Linked DNA regions of Macaca fascicularis. The protein of the gene in region 2 binds, or shares a complex with, the protein of the main gene of each other region. Links are inferred from orthologs where the notes say so. Each region holds a gene or a part of one and is shown on either strand. Other genes may lie near its edges.

Region 1 (4,385 bases), on a different chromosome or scaffold from region 2:
TATAGGGTCATTTTTACAGCCTATTTTCTTAAGCTACATCATGAACTAGAAAGAGAATCTGCAAAAGGCACTAACATTCAAGTTTGTTATATGTATGTATTGGTGTTAAGTGCGTTACACAGAGAATTTAATCTAATCTGTAAAACAATCCTAAAAATCAGGTTTTATTCTCTCACCTATTCATAAGAGAGAAAACAAAGTTAAGTAACTTAAACATGGGAGATTCAGACCTAGATCTACTTTCTTTTAATACTCAGGCTTTCTCCACTACAAAAAAATGTTCCTTTTTTTCCTTCAAATGTATGCATACAATTATACTGTAGACATTTTAGAATTATGACTAAGAAGGATACAAACGATGCTTCTGGATCGAAGTTGATGAGTTTGTTAGCTAGTTTATATTTAATTTTAATCCATCATGATTTGTGTATTATCTGATGTATGCTTCCCCTTATGGCTAGTCAGTTGCCCAGACACAGCTATAAGGTGCAGCAGTTACTCTAAAATGATAGAAATGCCAGTCTTTGATGGCTTGGCGCCAGGCGTAGTGGCTCACGCCTGTAATCCCAGCACTTCGGGAGGCCGAGACAGGTGGACTACCTGAGGTTAGCAGTTCGAGACCAGTCTGGCCAACATGGAGAAACCCCATCTCTACTAAAAATATGAAAAAGTAGCCGGGCATGGTGGCACATGCCTCCAATCCCAGCTACTCGGGAGGCTGAGGCAGGAGAACCGCTTCAATCCAGGAGGCAGAGGTTGCAGTGAGCTGAGATGCACTGCAGCCTGGGTGACAGAGCAACACTCTGTCTCAAAAAAAAGAAAGAAAGAAAAAAAGAAAAGAAAAAGAAAAAGAAAGAAAGAAAGAAAGAAAGAAAGAAAGAAAGAAAGAAAGAAAGAAAGAAAGAAAGAAAGAAAGAAAGAAAGAAAGAAAGAAAGAAAGAAAGAGAGAGAGAGAGAGAGAGAGGAAGGAAGGAAGGAAGGAAGGAAGGAAGGAAGGAAGGAAGGAAGGAAGGAAGGAAGGAAGGAAGGAAGGAAGGAAGGAAGGAAGGAAGGAAGGAAGGAAGGAAGGCAGGCAGGCAGGCAGGCAGGCAGGCAGGCAGGCAGGCAGGTCTTCGGGAGACTCAATATTACCAATAGAAGAAGTATGTGTAACAGTGCAGTGGCAGATACATTGATTAGAACCACTGTTCTAGCATAAAACTTCCCTGATAATATTCAGGTGCTTAATTTATGTGACCTGCTAAAAGTAATAGAGACAAGCTTGACGGTGTTCACAGGCAGAGGAACTGAAAATAATACTACATAAAGAATAGATGAATTCAGGTAAATTTAGCTGAATTTATGGGGAGAGTAAGGTCGAATACAGTGATTAAGGTTTCTAAATAATTGCAGGGCTGGCACGGTGGCTCATGCGTGTAATCCCAGGACTTCGGGCGGCTGAGGCTGGTGAATCTCTTGACCTTAGGGGTTTGAGGACAGCCTGGGCAACATGCGGAAACCCATCTCTACAACAACAACAACAACAACAACAAAGGAGATGGGCGAGGTGGCACTGGCCTGTATTTCCAGCACCTCGGGAGGCTGAGGTGAGGGATCACTTGAGCTTGGGAGGCGGAGGTTGCAGTGAGCTGAGATCGTGCCACTGCACTCAGATCTGAGTGACAGAGTGAGACTCTGTTTCAAAGTAATAATTGCAGGACTGTAGTTCACCTGAGTTCTGCCTGAAATGCTTGATACTCTTCTCCTTTCCTAATATACGTTTCTCCTCTAATTTTTTATTCTTGCTCTCACAGAACATTGTCCAAAGCCTGCTTATTAATATACCTACTGCTTTATAGTTAAATGTCTGTGTCCCCACCAAGACAAATCTCTTTGAGTTAAATTTGTCTTACTCATTAGTGTACCTTCAAATTTTGTATTTGCTTGTTGCCCAGCAAAAAACGTGCATTTAAAAAAAACCAAAACATATATATCCAAATGAACTTTCTTGTTGCAGGTAGGCAGGACCAATGTAACATTCTCTAATAGCGCTGTCAGAAAACAAATTGTTGCACGCTACTGGGGTAGCAGTTTCACCTCGTCCTCTGCTCTCACTGCTCTGGAAGTCTGTTTTTTTCTCTCAAAGGCCAAGTCTCTCATTTCGAGACTCATCTCAAGAGTGTCTTCCTCTAGGAAGATTTTCCTGACTCCCTCCTGTGGAACTTTACATCTCCCCTCTTTTTTGGTACTCTTCATGCGTCCTGTGGTGAACAATTATACGTAGACACCTAAAACATATTATTATTCTCATTTGTTAACACGTCGGGCTCCTCCCCTTCAAAGAACACACACAGCCTGAATGAAGAAAAGGTACTGGTCACCACAAGATTTTATTCATCCATTGGACCACCCGCTGATGGGGGTGTTTTCAAAAAAGTGCTAGCATTTTTAATCCAGGTCAACAATCTACAGAGTCCCTTCTGGTGCAGTTACAGAATTCTGATTACTGTAAGTTCGACTTTTCAGTTTGCGACAGGATTAGCTTTAATTTATTGCAATTAGTTCTCTTTCATTTATAAAACCAACTTAGGCCTCCTCTATTCTTAAGCTCCTATTTCCTTCGAGGGAAGCAGTGGCCTCCGCCCCCTGTACCCTCCACACCACCCGGCCTCCCCTCGCCTCCTCCACGGCCTCTCGGTCTCGCTCCCCTTTCCCAGCACCGCGTGCCGTGGGCCTCTTCTCACCGTCCGGCCGAAATTCGAACTCCAGAAACTCGTGCCCAAACTTGCCCTTGTGCCCTACGTAGTAGCGCAGGTAGAAATCGCTAGCCATAGCCATTTTTGTCCCCGGGAAGCCCGCCGAAAACCCAGCCAACGTGTCCCCCGGCGCCTTGTAGTCACGTCATCGCGCGGAATAAGTGCGTCACCACAGGCGCTTCTCTTCCGCCTGCCTTGCAGCCCTGGACTAAAGCGTGAAAGCCGAGTCTCGCGTGAGAGGCCAGTTGGTGCTGAAGGGAGAGTCGCATGCCGTGACTTTCTCTTTACTAGGATTGGAGGCACATTATTTTCAAAATAAAGATCACATTATATTAGCAAATATTAGAAATGTGAGCATATGATAGTATTTTTTATCGACTTAGAGCTAAATTAGGTTTGCAAGTGGCTTTTACTTTTCTGGTCTCCCAGTCCTCGGGGCGTTTGTGAGGTGGGTGTGGCTCTATTCCCCCTTTAACTGGGAGCTAAATAAAGATAAAGCTTAGAATAGAGATGGCAGACCGGGAATATAAACCATTTTTCTTACTTGATTTCGAACAGGGTGCTTTCCCCTTTGAATAACGATTGGTAGTTGCCCCGGACCTATAAGCCTATAATAATAGAGACAAAGTCAAAGGAATCCATCACAGCAAAGAACTTAAGAGATCTCATTTGATCTCTCAAGAATTCTGTGAGCTTGGCAATGTAGATTGCTGTATATGCCTTAGGCTGAAGAACAAACAGGCTTAGAGATAGTCACTAGCCCGAGGTTAGGTAGCTGTAAGTGTTGGGATTGAATCCCAGGTCTTCTCACCACCACTTTCTACTAAAAATCACTGACGGTAATTTCAGTGGGACAAAACTGGCTTAAAGTCTTAAAACACACACCCCCTACGCCTGAAAAACCCTGACTGTCACCGTGCTGTTTTTTAACAGCAGAACTTCTATGGTTCTTAATTCATTCAGTAAGGGTTAACTTTTAGTAGCCTGTGGAGTTTTGGCAATTTGACTTAAGATACAACAATGGTTTAGCCCATTACTGTTTCTCGCCAGATATAATTAAATTGGAGGAATGAAAGAATGCTCCATTGTGGCATAGTTTTTAAGGTAAGGGAAAGACTTTTACACAAAGTCTGCTTTTTAAATATTATTGATCACCCTTTTGTTATCAACACACAGAGTAATCCTCTCTGCTGGTTGACAACCTTCAGTGATTTTTGTAGAAAGTGGTGGTGAGAAGACCTGGGATTCAATCCCAACACTTACAGCTACCTAACCTCGGGCAAGTGACTCTCTAAGCCTGTTTATTCATCAGCCTAAGGCATATACAGCAATCTACATTGCCAAGCTCACAGAATTCTTGAGAGATCAAATGAGATATGTAAAATAAGCTTTAAATTTTATAAAACGTTAGTTTTAACAAACATTTCCTATGTGACAGTTTGAAACTAGAAATAAAAAGGCATTTGCACTGGTAGTCTAGAAAAGAAAGCAAACTTGTAAGGCAAATATTGGCACAATGGATCAATTGCTATAATTAAGAATATATGTGCCATTCTGGCCAACATGGTGAAACCCCGTCTCTACTATAAATACCAAAAACTTAGCTGGGCGTGGTGGCGTGTGCCTGTAGTCCCAGTTGCACGGGAGGCT
Region 2 (3,646 bases):
GTCTCATGCTTAACAGTCTCGCCAGACCGGCCACCATGCTGGCCCCCAGCTTCCATAGGCCTAAAACCAGCACGACCTTCCTTGAAGCCCCCAGATCGAGAATAATTCCTGGGTGCAGACATGCGGCCAGTACCTGCAGCATTTCTGTTAATAAATGTCCTTGGTGGTAGGGTACCCCCAAGACCCTGGTGGCGATGAGACTTGTTTAGCCGCTCACCATTCCAATTTGGATCTCTTTGTGGAGGACTCCCATATCTACAAAAAATGGAATGAAGAAACTGTTAAGAAATTAACAAAGGGAGGCTGGGCACGGTGGCTCAGGCCTGTAATCCCAGCACTTTGGGAGATCAAGAAAGACGGGCAGATCACTTGAGGCCAGGAGTTTGAGACCAGCCTGGCTAATACAGTGAAACCCCATTTCTACTAAAAATACAAAATTAGCTGATCGTGATGGTACATGCCTGTAATCCCAGCTACTGAGGAGGCTGAAGCAGGAGAATCACTCGAACGGGAGGTGGAGGTTGCAGTGAACCGAGAACATGCCACTGCACTCTTTATTTTGTCTCAAAATAAAGAAAGAAAGAAAGAAGGAAGGAGAGAAGAGGAAGAAAGAGAGAGAGAAAGAGAGAGACAGAAAGAAAGACAGACAGAGAGAGAGAGAAAGAAAAGCAAAGCAAGAGAGTTCTTTCTAAAATGTATCTATAGTCTATGGTCTATTTTTTTTTGGAGACAGGGTCTCACTATGTTCTCCAGACTAGTCCTGAACTTCTGGCCTCAAGCAATCATCCTGCCTCAGCCTCCCAAAGTGCTGGGATTCCAGGTGTAAGCCACTGTAAGCCACCATGCCTAGCCCAGTCTATGTTCTAAAATGCCTCACCGGGGTTTCCGGATTCTTCGGGGTTTGATGTCATCAGGATTGTGAGCTGAGCGAATGTCATAACCATAAAGAGCAATGAGCTCCTGTCGGGACTTTGGGGCCTGCTCATCTTCCCGGAACTTGTCATGCTCCCAGCGACCCTCATCCTTCCAAAGCTTTCGCTGACGCCCCTTGGGTCTGGATAAAATGAAGGAAAAGTCTTGGGTCAGCAGAATTCTCCAAGTAGAGATGTTCATGAACAAAACGGGTCAGGCAGGGGGACAATAGGAACTTCACGTAGTCTCATCATCCCAAAGAGATTATAAAAAACAGGCCTCCCCTAAGCAAGTGTGAATCACAGAACCTCAGAGCCTGCTGGGCTCAAATACAACAGACATAGAAATGAGAAAAGGACTTCATTTCATGCCATTCAGTACCTTTGAAAAACATCTCCTTTCTCCTAAAAAGCAGCCTATGCAAGTACTTCACTTCTCAGAGGCCTTACGCCTCAGATTAAGAAAAGAAAAAGTAGAATAATTAAGAGAAGATGAGTTCTGGAAACAGACTGCCCTAGGTCTGCATCTTAGCTGCCTCACCAAGAATTACCAAATATTCTAAGCCCACTTTCCTCATTTGTACAAGAAGGATAATCATAATACTTACCTTAAAATGCCTGTAATAAATGAAATACAGGCAAAGCATTTAGCAAAGTACCTGACCTACATGTCTAAAATACATGTTAGACAGCGGCAGCAGCAAGTGGCTTTTACCTGACTTCCTCCTCCTGAGTTTGCCCTCGAAGATCATGCTCAAAGAAGAGCCCTTTCCGAGGTATGTATGCTGGATTCTTTCGATCTTCATCATCATCCAAATGCTTAGGGCCCTTTTTACCCACTTTGTTCTCCACAGGTTCTGTGCTCTCCTAGAGGACAGATAAAGGGATCCTTACTCTTCCAGACTCAATAATCCCTATTCCAGCCTCTAAAATGGAGGACTGTGGAATGTACAGACCTGTCCGTCCCCACTTTGCCTCTCTCCAGTCACAGTGCCTTTGGTGTCAGGCTTTTCTTCTCCCTTCTCTTCTTTTGTTGAAGAATTAACAGCATCATTAGCTTCTGATTTCAGCTCCACTTTGGAGTTTTCCTCTTCACTGTATTCTCCTTCTTCACCCTGAAAAAAGTTTCCCTGTCAGTGATGCAGATAAGATCTGAACAGCATTTTAATTCCCACCTCGCCCCCCTCCCAGGATGGAGTCTCTGTCACTCAGGCTGGAATGCAGTGGTGTAATCTCGGCTCACTGCAACCTCTGCCTCCCAGGGTCAAGCAATTCTCCTGCCTCAGCCTCCACAGTAGCTGGGATTACAGGCACCCACCACCACGCCTGGCTAATTTTTGTATGTTTAGTGGAGACCGGGTTTCACCATGTTGGCCAGGCTGGTCTCAAACTCCTGACTTCACGATCCGCCTGCCTTGGCCTCCTAAAGTGCTGGGTTTACAGGAGTGAGCCACCGTGCCCGGCTGCATTTCAATTTTCTGCTCTTTAGGAATACATTTATTGATTAAATTTTTAGTACAACACAGAACTGAAAAGCAAACAAATCAATATTCTTACCCATATTTCCAGAAGATAAAGATCCTATTTTGGCTGGGCACGGTGGCTGATGCCTGTAATCCCAACACTTTGGGAGGCCGAGGCAGGCAGATCACCTGAGATCAGGAGTGCGAGACCAACCTGGTCAGCATGGCAAAACCCCACCTCTACTAGAAATACAAAAATAAGCCACACATGGTGGCAGGCACCTGTAATCCCAGCTAACTGGGAGGCTAAAGCAGGAAAATCATTTGAACCAGGGAGGCAGAGGTTGCAGTGAGCAGAGACTGCACCACTGCACTTCAGCCTGGGCAACAGAGTAAGGCTCTGTTGCAAAAAATAATAATAATAAAAAAAACGCTATTTTTAAAAATCACATTAAAAAAATACACACATACACACATATATATCCACATAGGTTTTCCTGGAACACATGCAAGAATGATTAAAAGTGGCAGGCTGGGTGCAGTGGCTTACACCTATAATCCCAGCACTTTGGGAGGCTGAGGCGGGAGGATCACTTGAGGTCAGGAGTTCGTGGCCAGCCTGGTCAACATGGCAAAACCCTGTCTCTACTAAAAATACAAAAATTAGCCGGGAGGCAGGAGGCTGCAGTGAGCCAAGATTGTGCCACTGCATTCCAGCCTGGGTGACAAGAGCAAAACACCGTCTCAAAAAAACAAAACAGGCCGGGCATGGTGGCTCACACCTGTAACCCCAGCACTTTGGGAGGCCGAGGTGGGCGGATCACAAGGTCAGGAGATCGAGACCACGGTGAAACCCCATCTCTACTAAAAATACAAAAAATTAGCCGGGCGCAGAGGCGGGTGCCTGTAGTCCCAGCTACTCAGGAGGCTGAGGCAGGAGAATGGTGAGAACCCGGGAGGCGGAGCTTGCAGTGAGCTGAGACGGTGCCACTGCACTCCAGCCTGGGCGACACAGCAAGACTCTGTCTCAAAAAAAAAAACAAACAAAAAACCAGCAGCAGCCTCTAACAGGCCCAGAGGATAAGAATGGAAGGGAGACTTACTATACAATACCTAACATATAAGAGGAGCTTAATCTTTTTGATAATTTCTATCTCCATGAATTATCTTTTTTGAGACAAGGTCTTGCTCTGTTGCCCAGGAGTGCAGTGGCACAATCATGGCTTACTGCAATCTCAATCTCCTGGGCTCAAGTGATGTTCCCACCTCAGC
Region 3 (3,646 bases), about 25 Mb from region 2:
GGTTAGGCGGGAGGACAGGTTCAAACAGCAAACCACGTCTGCCCCTGAGGAGCTCACAGTACAGGGTTTCTGTGCTGTCATTGTAGCGAGAGCTATTTTTTTGTTTTTATTTGCAGGTTTTGAAAAACCATCAGCAATCCAGCAACGAGCAATCAAGCAGATCATCAAAGGGAGAGATGTCATCGCGCAGTAAGTTGTCCTGGGGTGCGGCGCGGGGCTGGATGCAAATTTGGGCAGCGCAGTGCAGTTAGATGCTCTGGGATGACTGTTTCCCTCAGCTTCTACACACTCAGTACCAACACGTGCCCTGACTTTAGCCACAGGGTTTAATAATTTTTAAATTTCTGTTCTCTACTATAGAAAGCTTTCATTTTCTTTTTGAGATGGAGTCTCGCTCTGTCGCCCAGGCTGGAGCGCAGTGGCACCATCTCGGCTCACTGCAACCTTTGCCTCTCTGTTTCAAGCGATTCTCCTGCCTCACCCTCCCAAGTAGCTGGGATTATAGGCGCCCGCCACCATGCCTGGCTACTTTTCGTATTTTTAGTAGAGATGGGGTTTCACCATGTTGGTCAGGCCAGTCTCAAACTCCCGACCTCAGGTGATCCACCCTCCTTGGCCTCCTAAAGTGCTGGGATTACAGGCGTGAGTTACTGTGCCCGGCCAAGGCTTTCATTTTCTTAGCCAGCTTTGCTTGGTGGTTTGCTGGCAGGTGGAGTTGTATATAACACAATTTCGGAAAAACAGACTGCTTTTCCTCTGCTCTCACACCACCACCACAGTCATCAGCACAGAAGACGACTTGTGTGGGGGTTTTCCAGCTGGGTGTCCTCCAGTTCAGCTCATACCATCTGCCTGGAGACAGGCCATATCCCACAGGTTGAGGGCTCAGTCCCCTCAACTACCCTCTTTTCAGGCATCAATTATAAGTTTGGATGTCTAGAACTTCTGACCAAGCAGCTTCGAGTTGGGGTTCCCATGATCCCCTCTTTAGGTTGGATTAATTTGCTGGAACAGCAGCTCAAAGAACTCAGGGAAACACATTTAGTGGTTTATTATAAAGGGTGCTACAAAGGATACAGATATGGGGGCGGGGGTGCAGCCTCCCAGAACCTCCTTGTGTTCCACTGTCTGTGTTCAGCCATCCAGAAGCTCTTCGAACTTGGTCCTCTTGGGTTTCTATGGAAAATTCCATGAGGTCAGCATTCTTTCCCCCGCCCAGGGAATAGGGCAGGAGCTTTTCTAGGATAATACCATAATGCTTTTAAAAAAATTTTTTTTTAATTTAAATTTTTTACTTTTTTTGAGACAGGGTCTTACTCTGTCTCCCAGGCTGGAGTGCAGTTGTGTGATTACAGCTCACAGCAGCCTCAACCTCCCAGACTCAAGTGATTCTCCTACCTCGGCCTCCCAGGTAGCTGGGACTAGAGGCACACATCATCATTTACGTTTTTTATTTTCTGTAGAGACAGGGTTTCCTTGTGTTGCCCAGGCTGCTCTCAAACTCCTGGCAGTCTCCCTGCCTTGGCTTCCCAAAGCCTTGGGATTACAGGCGTGAGCCACTGTGCCCGGCCTAAACATTTTTTGTGTTAAGATATGGGGCCTCACTTTGTCACCGGGGGGAATGCAGTGGTGCGGTCATAGCTCACTGCAGCCTCTAACTCCAAGGATTAAGGAATCGTCCCACCTCAGCCTCCCAAGTAGCTGGGACTGCCTGAATGTGCTGCCATTCCTGGTTGGCTTTTTGTTTTGTTTAGAAATGGAGTCTCTTCCTGTATTGCCCAGGCTGGTCTCGAATTCCTGGCTTCAGTCAGTCCTGCCTCTGCGTCCCCGAGTGTTGGGAATACAGGCCTGAGCCACCATGCCGTGAAATGAGGGTCTTTATGACTTAAAATCTGAAAGGCAGGGAAGATTAGAGCCCCGCTGTGGAGCAGGCGAAAGGAGAGCAGGTCAGAGAGATTGTTTCCTGAGGCCTAACAAACCCATCAATTTAGTAAGACTGTAACAAGGGCTATGGGAGCTGTGAGCTAGGAACTATGAATGAAAACCTGTATGTAGTCTTATCTCCTAGCACCACAAATCCTCTTTTAATAGCTTTATTCCTCGTTTGCCTAATTTCAAAAAACTCATTTACACAAAAATTTCTTTGGAGGAGAGAGTTAGTCCAAAATCCTAGAAGGAAAAGAGTTGTATTTAGATAAAGGGGAGTCCTCCTTTTTCTGACACCTATGAAACACCTCTTGAAGTGACAGAGTCTGTGGCTCCATTGCCCCCCTTGCAGAAGCCATATCTACTCTCCTCATGGACACTTAACAAGCTGTGACACTGGGCCCGAGTCCCGCCTCCTTGCAGTTAAGATGTTATTGGGTACGGGGGCTTCTTGGAATAAGGTACATAAGTGCCTCTGGAGCCCAGGCCTTGGAGTGCAGCTGTGACATGGCCTGTCCTCCCTCTAATCCCACTGCTCTTATTTCCTTCAATAGGTCTCAGTCCGGCACAGGCAAAACAGCCACCTTCAGTATCTCAGTCCTCCAGTGTTTGGATATTCAGGTAATTTGTCATTCTTAAAACAGACTGTTCTGTAATTCTAGGAAATAACTGCTTTTTCTTCTGTAACTACAGTGTTCAAAAAGTACAATTAAAAATTTTCTAGTATGTATTGACTCAGCAAATTTTTACAGAGTCTTAATTGTACACTAATATTTGCACTAATATTCTGTCATGATTCTTTATTTAACTAGAGGAAGTTCTTGTCTGCAAACAAGGATCCTGACACATTAAGTTATTGCTGGATTTGCAATTTAAATGACATTAAGATTTGCTAACCTCTGTAAGAGATGAGAAGTATGATTAATATGAGATACTATTTCTCATATAGATCTCAGTGTGAATTACTACAATCCACCTTGATAATACTGAGAATTCTCTATTTTCTGATAAATTATTTCACCAGGTTCGTGAAACTCAAGCTTTGATCTTGGCTCCCACGAGAGAGTTAGCTGTGCAGATTCAGAAGGTGAGATGGCTAAAGATAGTGGTGTCCGATTTGCAAGTACTGCTTTTGTGATTTAGTTGTGAAACACTTGACTTATTTATTTAATCCAATCCTGTTTTCTGATACCTCAAAATTTTCTTCCTGATTAACATTTTGCCATGAATCATTATATAAATTGCTGGTTTGTATTAAGTCATTTTTGGTGTGGCTTGTGTGCTCTCAGTAGTTTTTTACAGCCTTAGGAATGTAGATTTTTCAGCAAAAAATTTTAATAAAAATAAATTAGGCCAAGGTGGGTGGATCACCTGAGGTCAGGAGTTTGAGACCAGCCTGGTCAACATGGTAAAACCCTGTCTCTACTAAAAATATAAAAAATTAGCTGGGCGTGGTGGCAGGTGCCTATAATCCCAGCTACTCGGGAGGCTGAGCAGGAGAATCACTTGAACCTGGGAGGCAGAGGTTGCAGTGAGCTGAGATTGCGCCACTGTACTCCAGCCTGGCAACAAGAGTGAAACTCCGTCTCAAAAAAATAAATTGTACCCATTTTATACTTACATAATATAAAGATGTATATTTTAAAAGATGTATATTAAGATGTTAATGTTGGTTTCTTTGGTGGATGGGATTATGAATTTTATATGTTGTTTTCTGTTA

What was found.
Region 1: CASC3 (region 2) and MAGOHB share a complex: the UniProt entries of both Homo sapiens proteins name them as parts of the mRNA splicing-dependent exon junction complex. The link is inferred for Macaca fascicularis from reciprocal best matches to the Homo sapiens genes CASC3 and MAGOHB.
Region 3: the proteins of CASC3 (region 2) and EIF4A3 are in contact, whole or in part, in a crystal structure (PDB 2J0U), measured with the Homo sapiens proteins. The link is inferred for Macaca fascicularis from reciprocal best matches to the Homo sapiens genes CASC3 and EIF4A3. Residues at the interface, in NP_031385.2 of Homo sapiens: Arg217, Trp218, Glu219, His220, Asp221, Lys222, Phe223, Glu225; in NP_055555.1 of Homo sapiens: Thr178, Arg179, Lys198, Ile201, Tyr202, Tyr205, Arg206, Tyr207, Leu208, Pro209, Pro210, Thr212, Lys231, Phe232.

The regions. Positions count from the first base shown.
Region 1 is NC_088385.1:10,340,238-10,344,622, reverse strand, and holds the start of MAGOHB (protein mago nashi homolog 2), read right to left. Parts: upstream 2,880-4,385; 5' UTR 2,818-2,879; coding exon 2,724-2,817; intron 1-2,723. UniProt on the Homo sapiens protein: Required for pre-mRNA splicing as component of the spliceosome. Plays a redundant role with MAGOH in the exon junction complex and in the nonsense-mediated decay (NMD) pathway.
Region 2 is NC_088390.1:61,239,391-61,243,036, reverse strand, and holds part of CASC3 (protein CASC3), read right to left. Parts: intron 2,027-3,646; coding exon 1,868-2,026; intron 1,779-1,867; coding exon 1,627-1,778; intron 1,055-1,626; coding exon 878-1,054; intron 256-877; coding exon 1-255. UniProt on the Homo sapiens protein: Required for pre-mRNA splicing as component of the spliceosome. Core component of the splicing-dependent multiprotein exon junction complex (EJC) deposited at splice junctions on mRNAs.
Region 3 is NC_088390.1:86,549,885-86,553,530, reverse strand, and holds part of EIF4A3 (eukaryotic initiation factor 4A-III), read left to right. Parts: intron 1-116; coding exon 117-189; intron 190-2,480; coding exon 2,481-2,547; intron 2,548-2,950; coding exon 2,951-3,013; intron 3,014-3,646. UniProt on the Homo sapiens protein: ATP-dependent RNA helicase. Involved in pre-mRNA splicing as component of the spliceosome. Core component of the splicing-dependent multiprotein exon junction complex (EJC) deposited at splice junctions on mRNAs.